Callithrix jacchus: one gene and its partners. The protein of the gene in region 1 interacts with the protein of each later gene in a pairwise test. Links are inferred from orthologs where the notes say so. Each region holds a gene or a part of one and is shown in the gene's direction. Other genes may lie near its edges.

Region 1 (5,199 bases):
ATTTATAGACTACTTTTTCTTCATGAAAATTTGTTTCACCTGAGTGGTACAACAATTTTTTTCTATACTTTTTCTGTAATCAAGTACTCAAAAAACAAACCCAGGAGAAATTCCTTTTATTAGTAATATTTGAAAAAGAGATGTGAAAACTATTTCTAAAAGTTCCCATAGTGGTTATCAGTGGCCTGAGATGGATTCATCATTTGTAGGTTAACATTTGGATGAAATAAGATATCTTAAGTCAAAAGTGGAAATAATTCTTTTCCTTAATGTAAAACTAGAAATTATGCCTCTTTTGGGGCATTTTTAATAGTATTTTTATTAGTTCTCTAGTGAGACTAATTTTTACTTCAGGCTTCCTTTGATATTTGGCAGTAGTTTATGAAATTTGGGTTTCACATTATGGCTCAGATCGTATCATTGAGTAATCTTTATAAGGAATTATGTAACTATGGCATTATTTGATAGTATGTAAATGCACATAAATAAGAATATTAAGAAGAATGTGTGGCTTTATAACTAATGTGATACACAACTGAAACTCTCAGCATAGTTTATTAAATCTTACTTTATTAAACTGAAGCTGCAGCCTCAGTGTAGAGAATATTATTTCATTGAGGTTCCCATATATTTGTCATGTAATGGATTGCTTGTGGTTTAAAATGTATAAAATGATGTCTCATTTCACAATTCTTAAGGTATTGCTGGCAGCATTTTGCTGTATCTGAGCACCTTTCCCTGAGTATTGTTCTCTTTTTCACTCCCATGCATGCCACCCTATCTGATATGCTATTATGTACATACTTTCAAGGTTTCAAACATCTGATAAAATTTAACTGAAAGAAGTAAGGTGAAAGAAAAACAATGTTAAATCCAAGAATAAGAATTTAGAGTGAAATAAAACTGAAAAAAAGCAAGAAATATGTTACGATTTTTAGAGCTAGCGGTGAAACATACTGATATAAAATTTCAGCATTCTATTAAGTGACTTTAGTGCTCATAAAAGATGTCACAGCTGTAGAGACTGATGCTCTTCATTTACAGAATAGGTAGAAAAGTAGTCAGCTTTTCCGTTAGTGTGTTTCAGAACTGTTGGGGCAGACCTGTTTTTGTTTGGCATGGGGAGCTGTTGTAGTTGAAGGGGTGCTGGTGGTGGTGTATGTGGTGTGTCAGTGAAAGCATTCACTGTTTTCTTTTGACTCTTTGCCTCTCTATGCTTCCTGATGCTTCCATTCTTTTCATTGCTTTCTGATTTGTCTTATAAAAATTTCAATCCATTAAAGATCCATGTTACAACATTGCTTTTGCTTAGAGCAAGCTACAAGTTAAATCTTTGTTAATGATGAATTTTAATTAGTGTCAAATAGCTATCTATTTGGACTAAATTATAGTAATTAAAATTTTTGCTTTATTTGAAGTATTTTTATGTATTCTTATTCTTGATCATATCAGAAACAGTTTTATTTGAACTTCTAATTTGATTAATCAAAAGAATCCATTTCAAAAGGAATTTGTTCAGTGTACCTATAATTTTTAAAGGTGTATTTTGTGTTAATGGTACTTGTTAAGCATAGGTAGTTTTGTTTTCAAAGAGGTGTCTGAGAAGGTAGCTATACAGTGCTCAAAGTGATTATTAGGTGATAAACCGTGGTAAGCACAAGGCCTTTTAGAGTCTGGACATAGGTTTTGTTGGTTCCGTTCTGGATTTGTCAGAATACTCTAAGCTAGTTAGCTCATAAGGGATGTATTCATAGTAATCAAACTCAGAAATTGATTATGATAGAATGGCAGTTGAGAAGAGATATTCCTTTTCACTTACAGGAATTGTGTCTGCTGTCTAGGTTATAACAGCTACCTAAATATCAAGGTATTTCGGAAATTGAGTTGGTAATCAGAGCTGCTCGGGGAGCATGAACTCAGAGGAGAGGGAATTTGAAAGCCTTGAGGAATATTTTAACCGGACTGTGAAAAAAAAAATTCTTCAGCGTCTCCATCTCTTATGAAAAATGGTTGCTTTAGTATACAGCTGAATCAATGCTGACACCATCATACGGTTCAGTTTTTATTTAGAATCATGCAGTCATGTAGACCTTTGTGTTCATCTGTTATTGCAAAGGTCACTTAAAATAATTTACTAGTTTGGAGAATTTTAACCATAACCCAGTGCTGAGGATGTACTGATTTGAATAGGGATTTTTAAGTGTCCACCCATTTTTCTGTTCCCACAGCTTTTTGTACAAACCTTCGTTTTAGTACTTAGCAAGTTGACTGGGCCAGGTTTTTCATAGTTGTAGGACCAAAGGGCTTAGCACAGCACCAGGTAGAGAGTAGACCCTTAATCATTTTTTTCCTATTTTTTATAACAGCATTATTATATGTAATTCATATACCATAAAATTTACCCTTTAAAAATGTAAAACTCTGTAGTTCTTAGAATATTTACAATTAGAATCATGCAATGTTACCATTATCTAATTTAAGAACATTTATATCACCCCAAAGGGAAGTATCATACCCATTAGCAGTCAATCCTCACTACTCTCCCTCCCCTCACTCCCTGGCAACCACTTACCCTCTTTATTTTTTTTATTAATTTTGTTTCCTTTGATACAGGGTATTACTCTGTCACTCAGGCTGGAATGCAGTGATAGTAATCTTTTTTTTTTTTTTTTGGTAGAGATTGAGTCCCACTATGTTGCCCAGGCTGTTCCTGCCTGGGCTTCCCAAAGCATTGGGGATTACAGGCATGAGATCTGCTTACTGAATTTTGTGTTTATGGATTTGCCTAGTCTGGACGTTTCATATAAATAGTCAAACAGTTTGTGGTCCTTTGTGGCTGGCTTCTTTCACTTACGATAATGTTTCAAGGTTCATCCATTTTGTAGCACGTAGACACTGTACTTCATTCTTTTTTATGGCTAATAGTACATTATGTGGATATACTACTACATTTTGTTTATCCATTCATCCCTTAGTGGATATTTGAGTTGTTTCCAATTTTGGTTATTATGAATAATGTCGCTGTGAACATTTCATGTATAAATTTTGTATGCTTTCATTTTACAATATACTTTGAATGGATGAAAGAAAAGTTATAGCAACTCTCAAAACTGCATTGTTTTGTAAATGACCAATTTATCCATTTTATATTGAGATTTACTTGTTTTCTTTGAGGCTCATTCTGTGTGTCATGGAAGTAGCGTACTGTAATTCTCCTCACAGCGGAATAAATGATTTTTGATTCTTTAATCTAGGATCTAAAATGTCCACTGAGGCACAAAGAGTTGATGACAGTCCAAGCACTAGTGGAGGAAGTTCCGATGGAGATCAACGTGAAAGTGTTCAGCAAGAACCAGAAAGAGAACAAGTTCAGCCCAAGAAAAAGGAGGGAAAAATATCCAGCAAAACCGCTGCTAAGTTGTCAACTAGTGCTAAAAGGTACCTCAGTTATTGTAACCTTTTTATTTTTGGTATCAGTTTATCATCTTAAGTTCTACTTTTCTTTTGCATTTAATCATTTTTTCCGGGATATTTAAGCCATGAACTTCATGGATTTTTCTTTCCCCTTACAGACGATCTTTTTTACATGGTTTTAACCATAGGGAACTTAAGTATTTAAAGTCAGTTAAATGGCATGGCAGATTCATAAAATACATATCCATAGTATGTTTGTGTTTTTGTGTATCATTAAGGAAGCATATACAGGATGTGCATGTAAAATTGCAGTGGTTTCATTTACAGTTACTTGACCATAAATTTTTTTTTCCTGTTCAGTAACACAGAATAGAGATTAAGAATCTATTGAAGTAGTTATTGAGTGAATGATAGTTTATTTTCCACTACTCTCAGTTGGTAAAGTCAGAAATGCTGACATTAGCAACAAGTGCATCTTGGTTTCATTACATTAGTCAGTGGGTCTGTCTTGATACACAGTTTCTCTTTCTCTAGAGGAATAGATGGATCTGGAAAGTAGGTATTTGAATGATTTTCTGTTGGTACATCAGTCTCTTAAGATAATTGACATGTCATTGGACTTAAAGGGAATCTGTTTTGATATTGTTACATTATAGAATATCTCTTGGAAAATAATTTGAAAGATAAATATAGTGTCTTTCCTGATTCTGTGATTTTATGTTCTTGCTTTGTTATTGTATGTTTTATATTGATCGAATAGGAAGTACAAATAAAAGTAGTCTAACTTTTAGGCATAGTGGAATGTCAGAATGTTGAATTACAGCTTTATATGTTATTGTATGATGTGGATTAAGGGGAACTCCTTTCTCAAAGATAAAAAAAAAAAACATTATTGGGCCAGGTGCAGTGGCTCAAGCCTGTAATCCCAGCACTTTAGGAGGCTGAGGTGGGTGGATCAAGAGGTCAATAGATTGAGACCATCATGGCCAACATGGTGAAACCCCCTCTCCACTAAAACAATACAAAAAAATTAGCTGGGCCTGATGGCGTGCACCTGTAGTCCTAGCTACCTGGAAGGCTGAGGCAGGAGAATTGCTTGAAACCAGAAAACAGAAGTTTCAGTGAGCCGGGATTGTACCACTGTACTGTAGCCTAGCGATACGGCGAGACTCTGCTTCAAAAAATAAAATAAAATAAAATAAAGCATTATTATAGTTTAGTAGACCTTGTTTCCCTTTGGCTTAGCCAATCAATAGGGTTGGAAAGAACCTTCTCAGATTCCTTGGTGAGAGATGTTGGAGGGATGGTGAAAGGTTATTTAAAGGTACTAGAGTATTCTGTTTCCCTTTCCTGGGAGTGTATTGCTGATCCCTGACCTCTATCGAAGGAGCTGTGTGAAAGCCCTGAATTTAAACTTTTAGTCCTGTATGCTAGAACATGCTAGGGTAGGGAAGAGGGCTCAGTTTGTTTTGCCATCACACCGCAAGTACGAGGGACTCAGCTACCTGACTCTTGTATTGCCTGACCACAACACAAATAAGCTGCTTAGAGGTGACCTGGGAAATGGAGGGTGGGGTTAGGATGGATAAAAAAGGTGGGGAATAGAGAAAATAGGACATTTAGATGAAAGGAGGAGGTTGATGTGGGTGGGTAGATGTTCAGGTACAGATCGTAATTACATGTAGTTTAGGAAAATCTAATTCAGTCCTGAGCGTCTTTAGTCTGTCAGAAAAGGGTAAGGACTGGTTGGCCAGGTCTGTGGGGAATAGGGTTCTGCTGGGCCTA
Region 2 (5,255 bases), on another chromosome or scaffold:
TTTTCTTTTAATATTTCTCTACACTTTGTTTTACCCCTGCTTTAGAAGTATCTGGGGTCATTTAATAGGTGGAAGTCAGTTAAGCCAGGGACTTCATGATACGGCCAGCACCTAGCACTTGACAAATAGTTGTTCAGCAGTCACAGTTACTCACGATGTAATCCCAGCACTTGGGAGGCCAAAGTGGAAGGACCGCTTAAGGCCAGGAGTTCCTGCCTGGGCAAAATAGGGAAACTCCCATCTTTGCTATATATGTGTGTGTATATACATAGTAAAGATGGGAGTTTCCCTATTTTATATAAACTCCCATCTTTATTTTATATATATATATACACACACACACACATATATATACTATTGTGTGTATACACACATATACACACAATATACTAGTATATACATATATATTGTGTATATTTTGAGATGGAGTCTCACTCTGTTGCCCAGTCTGGAGTGCAGTGATGTGATCTTGGTTCATTGCAACCTCTGCCTCCTGGGTTCAAGCCATTCTCCTGCCTCAGCTACCCGAGTAGGTAAGATTACAGGTGTGAGCTACCATGCCTGGCTTTTTTTCTTTTCTTTTTAGTAGAGATGGGGTTTCACCATGTTTACAAGGCTGGTCTCCGGTGATTTCCCCCCGCTCCCGCGCCTTGGCCTCCCAGAGTACTGGGATTACAAGCCTGAGCCACTGTACCTGGCCTGATTTTCAAATTTCTAACAAGACTTTTTTTTACTCGGGAGGGTGAGGCAGGATAATCGCTTGAACCTGGAAGGCAGAGGTTGTCCAGCGTGGGCGGCAGAGCAAGGCTCCGTCTCAAAGAAAAAAAAAAAAAGAAAAAGAAAAACAATTCTTAAATGAATGAATGTGGATGTAGGAGAAAGACAGGGACTGAGGTAGCAAAGGAATACTCCCTTGCAAAATGATGCAGCCTTGGTCAACGTGTCCTTGGCCTGTGGTGTGGGCCAAAACACTGCCCATGGTAAACAAACACAGGGCTCCAGCCTTGGACCGAAGGTTTCTATAATCACTTTTAGCTGCATTGTTGTATTTCCATGTCCATATCTATTCACTTTTTATGGTACACCTATTGATTTTGAAAATTACATTTTAGTTAAGGAATCTACTCATTTGCTTAAGCCCCAAATAGGAAGTTCTGACCTCGTGTCAGCAAAACCCCGGATTCACAAGTGTCCCCATGGCGCTGTTTACCCCCAAACAGCTAAACCCCGCCAAATGTTGAGATTCCGGACGAGAGGGGTGCTTGGATAGGGAACCCCCTAAAGAATGGACAGCACGTCCACCAGAGGGTGCTGTAGGGGCAAATTTGTGCCAGGAGGGGAGCTCAACCGGTGACCCTCAGAGTCAGGTAGGCGTAGGGAGTAAATCTCCTTCCCGGTGTTTCCTTCCCACCCCTCGAACCATTGCCGCTCCTCCCCCATGCGCGGTTCCCCTTGAATAATTAGCCACTTTCTGGGACTTAAGAAGGGTTTGCTTTTTAAAGACGGCTGGTTTCTGAGGCTAACGCCCAGTGCCTCAGGCCGCCCAGGTTACAGGCCAGCCGGGGGCGGGCGGTGGGTGGGAACCGCTAGGGCGTCAGCGGCTGGGGCGCCGCAGGGGCCGCGAAAGGGTTAACCCGGCGGGGGGGAGGGAGAGGCGCGGGTCGCGCCTGCGCTCTACCGCCCTCCATTGTCTCCACGGCGGCGAGGAGCGCCGGCGAGCGCTGCCCGGGACGGAGCTGGGCGGCGCGGCTGGCCGGGCCGGCGGGCTGCTGGAGCGAGAGCGCGACGCGACGCGACGCGACGCGACCGCGGCTTCCCCTGCTGCGCCTGGCCGCCCAGCGCCGCGGCCAGCCCGAGGCCTGGAGGTATCCGGGCCGCCGTCCATGGTCGCGGCGTCCTGAGGCGGGGGACGCGCCTGGCGCCCCCGGCCCTCCTCCGCCTCCTCCCGCGGGGCTGGCGGCCTCCTCCGGCGCCTCCCCGCGCCCGCCCGCCGCTCGCAGTCGCCTCCCTCCCTCCTTCCCTGCGGCTCCCCCTGGCTTTCGGAGCCCGGGGGCGGCCTGTGGCGCGCGGAGCCCGCGCCGGACTGCGCCTCTTTGGACCTTGAGGGGAAACATGCATTTGGCTTGGATCGTTTGAAATTCTGAGTTTGGGATCCCCGCCCGCCCGCCTCTTCCGCCCCGCCGTTTTTTCCTTTTTTCTTTTGCTTTTTTTCCTTTTCTCCCTTCGGGTCTCCTTTTTGACTCCTTCCCCCTTTATGCTCGCCCAGCCCTCCCCCCGCTGCTGAGAAGTGGGGGAGGGTCTCGGCCTCCAGGTTCCCGCCCCACCGGGGCTCGGGCAAGCATGGGGGGCAAGCAGAGCACGGCGGCCCGCTCCCGGGGACCCTTTCCGGGCGTCTCCACCGATGACAGCGCCGTGCCGCCGCCGGGAGGGGCGCCCCATTTCGGGCACTACCGGACGGGCGGCGGGGCCATGGGGCTGCGCAGCCGCTCGGTCAGCTCGGTGGCAGGCATGGGCATGGACCCCAGCACCGCCGGGGGGGTGCCCTTTGGCCTCTACACCCCTGCCTCCCGGGGCACCGGCGACTCCGAGAGGGCTCCCGGCGGCGGAGGGTCCACGTCCGACTCCACCTATGCCCATGGCAATGGTTACCAGGAGACGGGCGGCGGTCACCATAGAGACGGGATGCTGTACCTGGGCTCCCGAGCCTCGCTGGCGGATGCTCTACCTCTGCACATCGGACCCAGGTGGTTCAGCTCGCACAGTGGTGAGTCCGCGGGTGGTGGAGGCCTCGGAGGGAGGGCGTACCAGGGCGCCCCAAGCCTTCGCGTGCGTGCCAAGGTTTGGGAATGTAGTGCACGACCGGGAACTGCCTGCCTTCCATTTGGTTCCCGATGCCAAGGGATGAATGGGATACCTACCTTCTGGAAGCGAGGCTTTCTGTAAGGCTGCGGAGCCTGGCGTTTTAGGACTCCCGGCGTGTGTTCACTTGTGGAAGGGCAGAGCGAAGCCTGCCAATTAGAGTCCCATTTATTGTCATCACCCTCAGTGAAGAGGTTTTGTCTGGCTGATAGCATGTCAGCCTTGGTGCTTCCATTCTGCCACTGCAGCACTGTGCCTGCCTCACTGGTAACGGAGAGCTGGAGCCAGTTGGAGCAAGCAGTGTCTCCTAAACAGAGTGTGAAAATGAAATAAAATTAGGGGCAAGTGATGCCTGGATTAGGGCTCTCACTCTTGCTGGGAGAGAGAGGTGCCCAGTTTTGCCACCGTGCTGGAGATCTGTTTGAAATGTTTAAAATGGAGCAGTCGGCAGGCGGCTGGCATAGACAGGTGTGGCTGCTGTATGGAGGGCCCAGCCAGCCAAGCTCGCGGGGGCTTTGCAGGACCAGGGCTCCGGTCACCCATGCTGCATGCAGCAGGCTTGGCTCCACGACTCTCACCTCCCTCCATCTTTTTTCTTCTGCTTCATGCTAAGTGCTTGGTCTTCCTGTGAATCTGCATGTTTTTGTAACAAGGAGCCGGTCAAGGTGGGGCATTGTTGCCTGATAGTTGGCACATGACTGGGGAAAAGGAGGATTCAAAGAATCTGGATGAATTCATTTTATGAACTTCTGGTGACAAGCCAGCGAAAGGTTGGAGGGGGATTTCCCAGATTCCTACTGGCGGGACAGAAAAGACCTGGCAGGAGGAAAACAGGTTTGTCTGCTAGGTCAGGCTTCTAGAAAATTGGTCAAAAGAGGTGTGGGACTGCTATTTACTAATTGGCAAGTTGAGTGAAGAAGTTACATTTTCAAATTCTTTTGGGTAAGTTGGGAAAATTTAGATGTTGTGTGGGGGAAAGATTTCTCCTGCCTTTAGGGTACTTTATGGAGGATAATATCAGTTGGATCACTGTTTTAGCCACTGTGAAACAGGGTTGACTTTTGGGTTATCTCCCCCCTCCCCTATAAATAGCCTGGGTTTTTTTTTTAATTTGGTTTGGTTTTTTGTTAATTCTATAAACTTTAATTTGTGAAATAGTGTTGGGGGAGTAGCTGTATTAGTGATTAATTTAGGGTAACACTTAGAAGTAGCTTGTGAATTGTTAGGGTATTTTAATCTCTGAACAGACTTCTGGATATCATTGGAGCTTTTCTGACCTCATCGAACTCTGCCCTGAGTGAGATGCAAGACTTGATTGCCTTTGGCTCTTTGAGGCATTTGATCAGAATTAGGCGTTTTGAAATTAATAATATTTCCTATGAAATTTAGTCCAGAGAGTTAGCCATATTTTTAAGATGACTGGTTAAGTGTTTAAAAGAACTGTAATGAGTATCTGGTTTTGAACTGAAAAGCACTATAAGAAGTGTCTCTAAAATTACAGAATTTTGTGTGTTGGGGGGGTTCTTTTTTTTGCTAAAATTTCTTAAGTCTGTCTCTTACTAAAATTTTTTATTTTTTTAATGATTATTTATTTATTATTTATTATTTATTTTTATTTTTCTTACTAAGTATTTACTTATTCTTATGCTGCCACCAGGTTCCATGCTAGAGTTATGAACTTATAATTGGATTCCAAAATTTCGATCCTAAGCTGTGAAATCTTAAGTTCTTTCATCCGGTTATGGTAAGGATAGGGAGAGCCACTGACCTGTGGGGATACATGAAAGTTGGAGCATATTAGTCTTTTAGGGAGAGTGTTGAAAGTGTGTATGGGTGGCTGCTATTAATATTGTAGGTAATCCATTCTTTACTGTGTAGGACCATCATGTCCTTCTGCAAGACATTGAGCATACCTGGCCCCACCTACTAATGCTGACAGCATCCAGCAGTTCAGTGTGTCACCCCAAAATGTCCCCAGGAACTCCCAAATGCCCTTTGGGGAATGGATGGTACCACTCTGATTAAGAACCGCTGCTTTTAGGGATTTATTCTATTATCCGATAAAGTAATTAGCTTTTTCAGTGCAGTTCATTTGAGATGAACCTTCATGTGCAGCAGTGGTTCCATCTCACCTGGAACAGATCATGGGCTCTTCCAGGATGTCTGTTTCCTCTGTTCTTCATTACTGCAAGAAGCAAAATTTGTTTTTGCTTTGGAGCCTTTGTGTAAGGTCTAAGCAGCTTTTGCTCTTGTGTTATAAGATTAGAAGGGTAAGGATTTCGGTGCACAATTGATTAGATGCCTGGAAATTGATATGTGATGCTTTTGCTTGTGTTTTCAAGGTGCTCTTGCAACTCTTCATGGGCACAGAAAACAGTTGTCAGTGAAATACGTGG
Region 3 (5,199 bases), on another chromosome or scaffold:
TCTTTTACAAGACAAATCTTTTCCTTCTTTAGTACTCTATAGACATGTAGTGTGATAGACAAGAATATGAGCTTACTAGTAGTTTAACACTTGGATATTTGTAGGTTTCAGATTATAAAACTCATATCTCACTATTAAGGTAGAGGAGAGGAACCCACTCTGCACAAGTGATAAATGTTTCTTGAGAGAAAATATAAAATCATGTATTATTCTTGCCCCTTGTTTACTGACTGGTTTGTGGTGATTCTTATTTCTACTCCAGGGGGAAGAAATGGAGTAACTAGAATAAGAGCTCTAATAAATAAACTCGCTTGGTTTAGAGATGAGAAGTGTCTTAACTGCCAAAACCAAATTATTTTTTTTATGGAAAATAGTTTGATCACACATATTTTTTTCTTTTGACTGCTATTTATTATTGCCTTCTTTTGGGCCTGCAAATACTTGGCATTTTGAATGTATTAGGAGTCCACATATAACTTAAAGATGCACAGCCCACAAAAGTATGACTCAAATCACACACTTTATGGCAGAAAACTCATGGTATGGCAGTTTAACTGTAAGATATGTGAATGGTTTTGCTGCTATCATGCTGCAGTGCTTGGCTTCTCACTGTTTCATATTAAGGTGAAAGTTAAAATAATTTGACCTTAGTGGTTTTTTTTCCTTTTGTTTAATGGTACATTTAATGTTAATTTGTTTAATGATACAAATTTGCACGTAAATTTGTATATGAATGTGGAGTTTGTTCTAACAGGTAAAGTTCTAACCTCCAAGTCACACAAATCCTGTTGCTCTTTTAAGCAGGGCTGATGACAAATTCTGTGAACCCAATTCTAAATCTTTTAAATAAGAAGCATATAAGTCATACTGTTTAAAAATGTGTATGAAGCCTGGATATGTCATACACAAAGCTAAATAATTAATAAGGTGATGCCTTTTTGGACTGGTACAAATTCAGTAATTTCCTAATAATTATGTGATAATCCCACTAAAATGTAAGCCCTGTTCTATAAAAGACGGATTTTTGTCTATTTTGTTCACTTTTGCCTGACACACAGTAAGTTCTTACTACATACTTACTGAATGTATGACTCTTAAGTGAGTACACTCAGGTTCTACTAGTAGTTCTTGTCTCTAGAATACAATTGAAAGTAAAATAACATGATTCTTAACAGTGTAAAAAATGGAATTACTGAAATTGGGAATCTAGGATTTTTGCAACCTTATTAGTATTATTATTTTCCTTTCTTCAGGTGACTTGATGGAGGGTGAGCTCTATTCTGCTCTCAAGGAAGAAGAAGCATCCGAATCTGTTTCTAGTACCAATTTCAGTGGTGAGATGCACTTCTATGAGCTTGTAGAAGACACAAAAGATGGCATCTGGCTGGTTCAGGTATGAAAAGCAGTGATAGTTCTTGATAATTTGAGAACCTTAAAAAAATTGTTTTTACTAAATAGTATATAGGAGCCAGTGACATTTTCGTGTACTTATGTCTTGTTTCTCACACATAACTCAGTTCTCTTAGGGAGGCTCTAGTATCTTCTTAAAAAGGTTTTGGAGACTGAGGAAAATGAAGATTGAGTAGTGGGAAAGAGAAAGTTGGGATGGGGGTCAACTTTTTGTTTAGAATCCGGAGAAGCAAATCTATTTTAATTATTGGACCTCGCTGAATTGAGAAATACACATATATATCCCTTTTATTTGGTGATTTACTCTGTTTCTCTTGGTTTTTATCTCCAGTTTTTAATTCAGTGACTTGATTAATTTTTCTATATAAGAAGTAGCCAACTTTGTGACCATGTGGAAAATGGTGGGGGTGCTCATTATGTAACTCATGGTGATGAGATTATACTTTTTAACCTTTTTATACACCTGTTTTTATGATAGCAAAACTGTGAGACTTAATTAGCATATTAGAGTTTTAGAGCTATGAAGGACCTTAAAAATATACTTTCCAAGATGTGATTTATTGTAAGTGGAACACATTGTCGTTTACATAGTTTAATGTAAATTAGAAAAATCTATATTATATGAACATGTAAATTTCATAAATATTGCTTAGAACAGGACTAAAGTTACTTATATTTTAAAACTGTGCATTCATTTAAAGTGACATATCAAGTAAATTAACAGCATGAATGTGGCCAAAATTATTAATGTAGTCTGTGAATGGCTGAAGCTTGGAAATTATATCAGACTAACCCTTTCTGAGACTCTGAGAGGTGAAGTATCTTGCCCAAGGTAATGGAACTGGTTGGTAATACTGAACCAGGATGAAATCCCAAGTCTTCTGATTTCTTTTCTGGTACTCTTGTTATTTCACACTGGAGTGGGCAAAGTTTTATTTAGGTCATGAAAATTAAAATAGTTTCTTCATATCTCTTTCTGAATGCAAAGACTGCAGAATATGTTAGAAAAAGCTTCGCGTTCAGAGACCACAGTTGCAGGTCTGGTACTGTCATTGACTAGCAGTATGATTGTGAATGGGTAGATTTTTCTGCTGCACATGGCCTCAGATAAATACATATACATCTAAAGAGGATAGAATAGTACAGTAGTCCACTGTGCTAAAGGGTTGAGATTTGGGAATTCTTCCAGAGATTACATTGTTTATCCATGGCCTTTCTTTATTGTAACCTTCCTATTGATTTGTTCTTTTACCTTCCAGATAATCTAATTCATTAATTTTTAAGTTCAGCAATGGGAGAGAGAATGGAAGGGTATACATTATCCATTTAAATTTTAGTTTATTTAGTTTATTTTAGTTTAGTTAATTGGAGTTGAAAAATAAGCTGTAGCTTTTTTTAAAGCTTTAATTTATAAGTATATTGTTGTTCTATTTCTTTTCTCTGGTACTCATTTCTCTTTTCTTTTTTCTTTTTATATCTTTTATCTTTTCCTACCCAGATCAAAAGGATCTGGTACTCATTTCTCATAGTCTGATTGAGAAAGACACTGGTTTTGATAATTTAAGATTTTATTACTGAGAATGAGTTGAGTAGCCAGTCCCACTGCCTTGCATTCAGTGTCAGTTTGTCACCCACATTGACTAATCCCATGGAAATAAATGATGAAGATGTTGCACACCTTTGAAACTTGGAAGGGCCATGTCTAAAGTCTTGAGTTCTTTTGCTATCTAGGATGCAGTCTATAGACAACAAATAAATTCTGGTTCAATAGTTAGCAGTATGTTCTTGGCTTGTTAATGATCTACGTTAAAGATACCCATGAATTAAACTCCTGTAATAAATATGTGGCAGAATTCATCAAAAGTTTATTCAGTAGATGTGGGTGTGCCAAGGCCCTGTTCTGGGCCCTGAAGATATACCAGAAACACATACCAAGCTAAGGCCTTGCCCTGCCAGGCAGCTCACATTCCAGTTGGCAAAGGCAGACACCAAATAAATAAATACTTAAGGCCAGGCGCAGTGGCTCACCCCTGTGATCCCAGCACTTTGGGAGGCTGAGGTGGGCAGATCATGAGGTCAGGAGATCGAGACCATCCTGGCCAACGTGGTGAAACTCCGTCTCTACTAAAATGTAAAAAATTAGCCAGGTTTAGTGGTACATGCCTGTAGTCCCAGCTACTTGAGAGGCTAAGGCAGGGGAATCACTTGAACCTGGGAGGTGGAGATTGCAGTGAGCTGAGATTGTGCCACTACACTCTAGCCTGGCAACAGAGTGAGACTCCATCTCCAAAAAATAAATAAGTAAATATTTACTATGACATTAGTCAGTGGAAAGTACTAGGAAGAAAAATAAGCAGATTAAGGAAATGAGAGTGTCAAGGAATTCTCTGGTAAGGTAACACTTGAATGAAGAACAAATAATGATAATAAATGGTACACATTCTAGTTGCTAAATTATTTTCCTCTGAAAATATTTTTAAACCTTATAGGTATTGATAGTTGAAAAACGACTCTCAAGAAAAAGAGAATGTATTTCTATGGTTTTCTGTGTATGGAAATGATGCAATAGGACACCTACTTAATTTTACCAGTGACGCTCAAGGTTTGCTGTCTGGCTTGAGTTCCTTGGGGCCGGTGGCTTATAATTGTCAAATGGCTTATATCTGTCAACTGACCACCACTGTCTGGCTTGTGTTCCTTGGGGCCGGTGGCTTATATCTGTCAAATGGCTGGCCTAGTCTGAAACAACAATCTCTGGCAGGACAACTGAGAAGAGTGAGATTGAAACCCTGTCCTTGGCACTGTGAACTAACCACGTAAGCTAATCAGCACAGCTACCCTGGTTTAAGCTCTTAAAAGAGGGTTGTATTTTTTTAAGCTATGTTTAACATTGAAAATATCTACTAGAAACAGAAGAGAAATATTGTCTCCATTGCTTGCCATTCTTTCAGCTCAGATCATATATTTTAATCTATGGTAAGGGATAACTTTCAAGATTCAATTTTTAACAATTTGAATTGTTGTCCTTTTCTGTTTACAGTAGTCCCCCCTTATCTGAGGGGCATACCTTCCAAGATCCCCAGTGGATGCCTGAATCATGAATAGTACCAAATCCTACATATACTATGTTTTTACTTATGTATGTATACCTGTGATAAAGTTTAATGTATAGGTTAGGCACAGTAACAACAACAACTAATAATAAAATAGAACAATTATAACAATATACTGAAATAACTTTTATGTAAATGTAGTTACTTGCTTTCTGAATATCTAATTGTATGTAGTATTTTTGGACTGCAGTTGACTGCAGAAAGTGAAACTGAGGATAAGGGGAGGCTACTGTATTTTAGAAGAAGCTGACTAATTTGTTCTCTGTCATTTAAGTCTATGAGGAGTGTTTTCATAGATAAAGATGCACAGATGCCAGCCAGTTCAGTCCTCTTCACATTTTCAAGTTTTTCTAGGTCCATTCTACATATAGTCTCTATAATGTGAACAGAACTAATTTTAGTTTTCAAGGTAGCAAGAACATACATATACATCTTTACCATTGGCACACTATGCACATGAAGAACCAAGTCTTCTTTTTTCTAAGTTATTTCTAACATCGTTTTTCTGCTTTGTCCCTAACCTAAGCTCATATCTTTCATTAGCTATTCATTTAACAGTTTTGTGGATTCTTTGGCCCCAGTCTTCATAGCATCACAGATAGAAGATGGTTACTGTTTTTTCAAAAGACTCTTGGTCAGAGAAGCAGTTAGCATTGTGGATAGGCTTCTGAAATGG

What was found.
Region 2: the proteins of UBE2E2 (region 1) and ZNRF1 interact in a two-hybrid assay, tested with the Homo sapiens proteins (2 studies listed by BioGRID and IntAct). The link is inferred for Callithrix jacchus from reciprocal best matches to the Homo sapiens genes UBE2E2 and ZNRF1.
Region 3: the proteins of UBE2E2 (region 1) and RNF103 interact in a two-hybrid assay, tested with the Homo sapiens proteins (2 studies listed by BioGRID). The link is inferred for Callithrix jacchus from reciprocal best matches to the Homo sapiens genes UBE2E2 and RNF103.

Annotation. Positions count from the first base shown.
Region 1 is NC_133518.1:61,544,013-61,549,211, forward strand, and holds part of UBE2E2 (ubiquitin-conjugating enzyme E2 E2), read left to right. Parts: intron 1-3,254; 5' UTR 3,255-3,262; coding exon 3,263-3,438; intron 3,439-5,199.
Region 2 is NC_133521.1:32,359,170-32,364,424, forward strand, and holds the start of ZNRF1 (E3 ubiquitin-protein ligase ZNRF1), read left to right. Parts: upstream 1-1,686; 5' UTR 1,687-2,340; coding exon 2,341-2,764; intron 2,765-3,478; exon of another isoform or gene 3,479-3,693; intron 3,694-5,255. UniProt on the Homo sapiens protein: E3 ubiquitin-protein ligase that plays a role in different processes including cell differentiation, receptor recycling or regulation of inflammation. Mediates the ubiquitination of AKT1 and GLUL, thereby playing a role in neuron cells differentiation.
Region 3 is NC_133515.1:26,365,804-26,371,002, forward strand, and holds part of RNF103 (E3 ubiquitin-protein ligase RNF103), read left to right. Parts: intron 1-1,253; coding exon 1,254-1,393; intron 1,394-5,199. UniProt on the Homo sapiens protein: Acts as an E2-dependent E3 ubiquitin-protein ligase, probably involved in the ER-associated protein degradation pathway.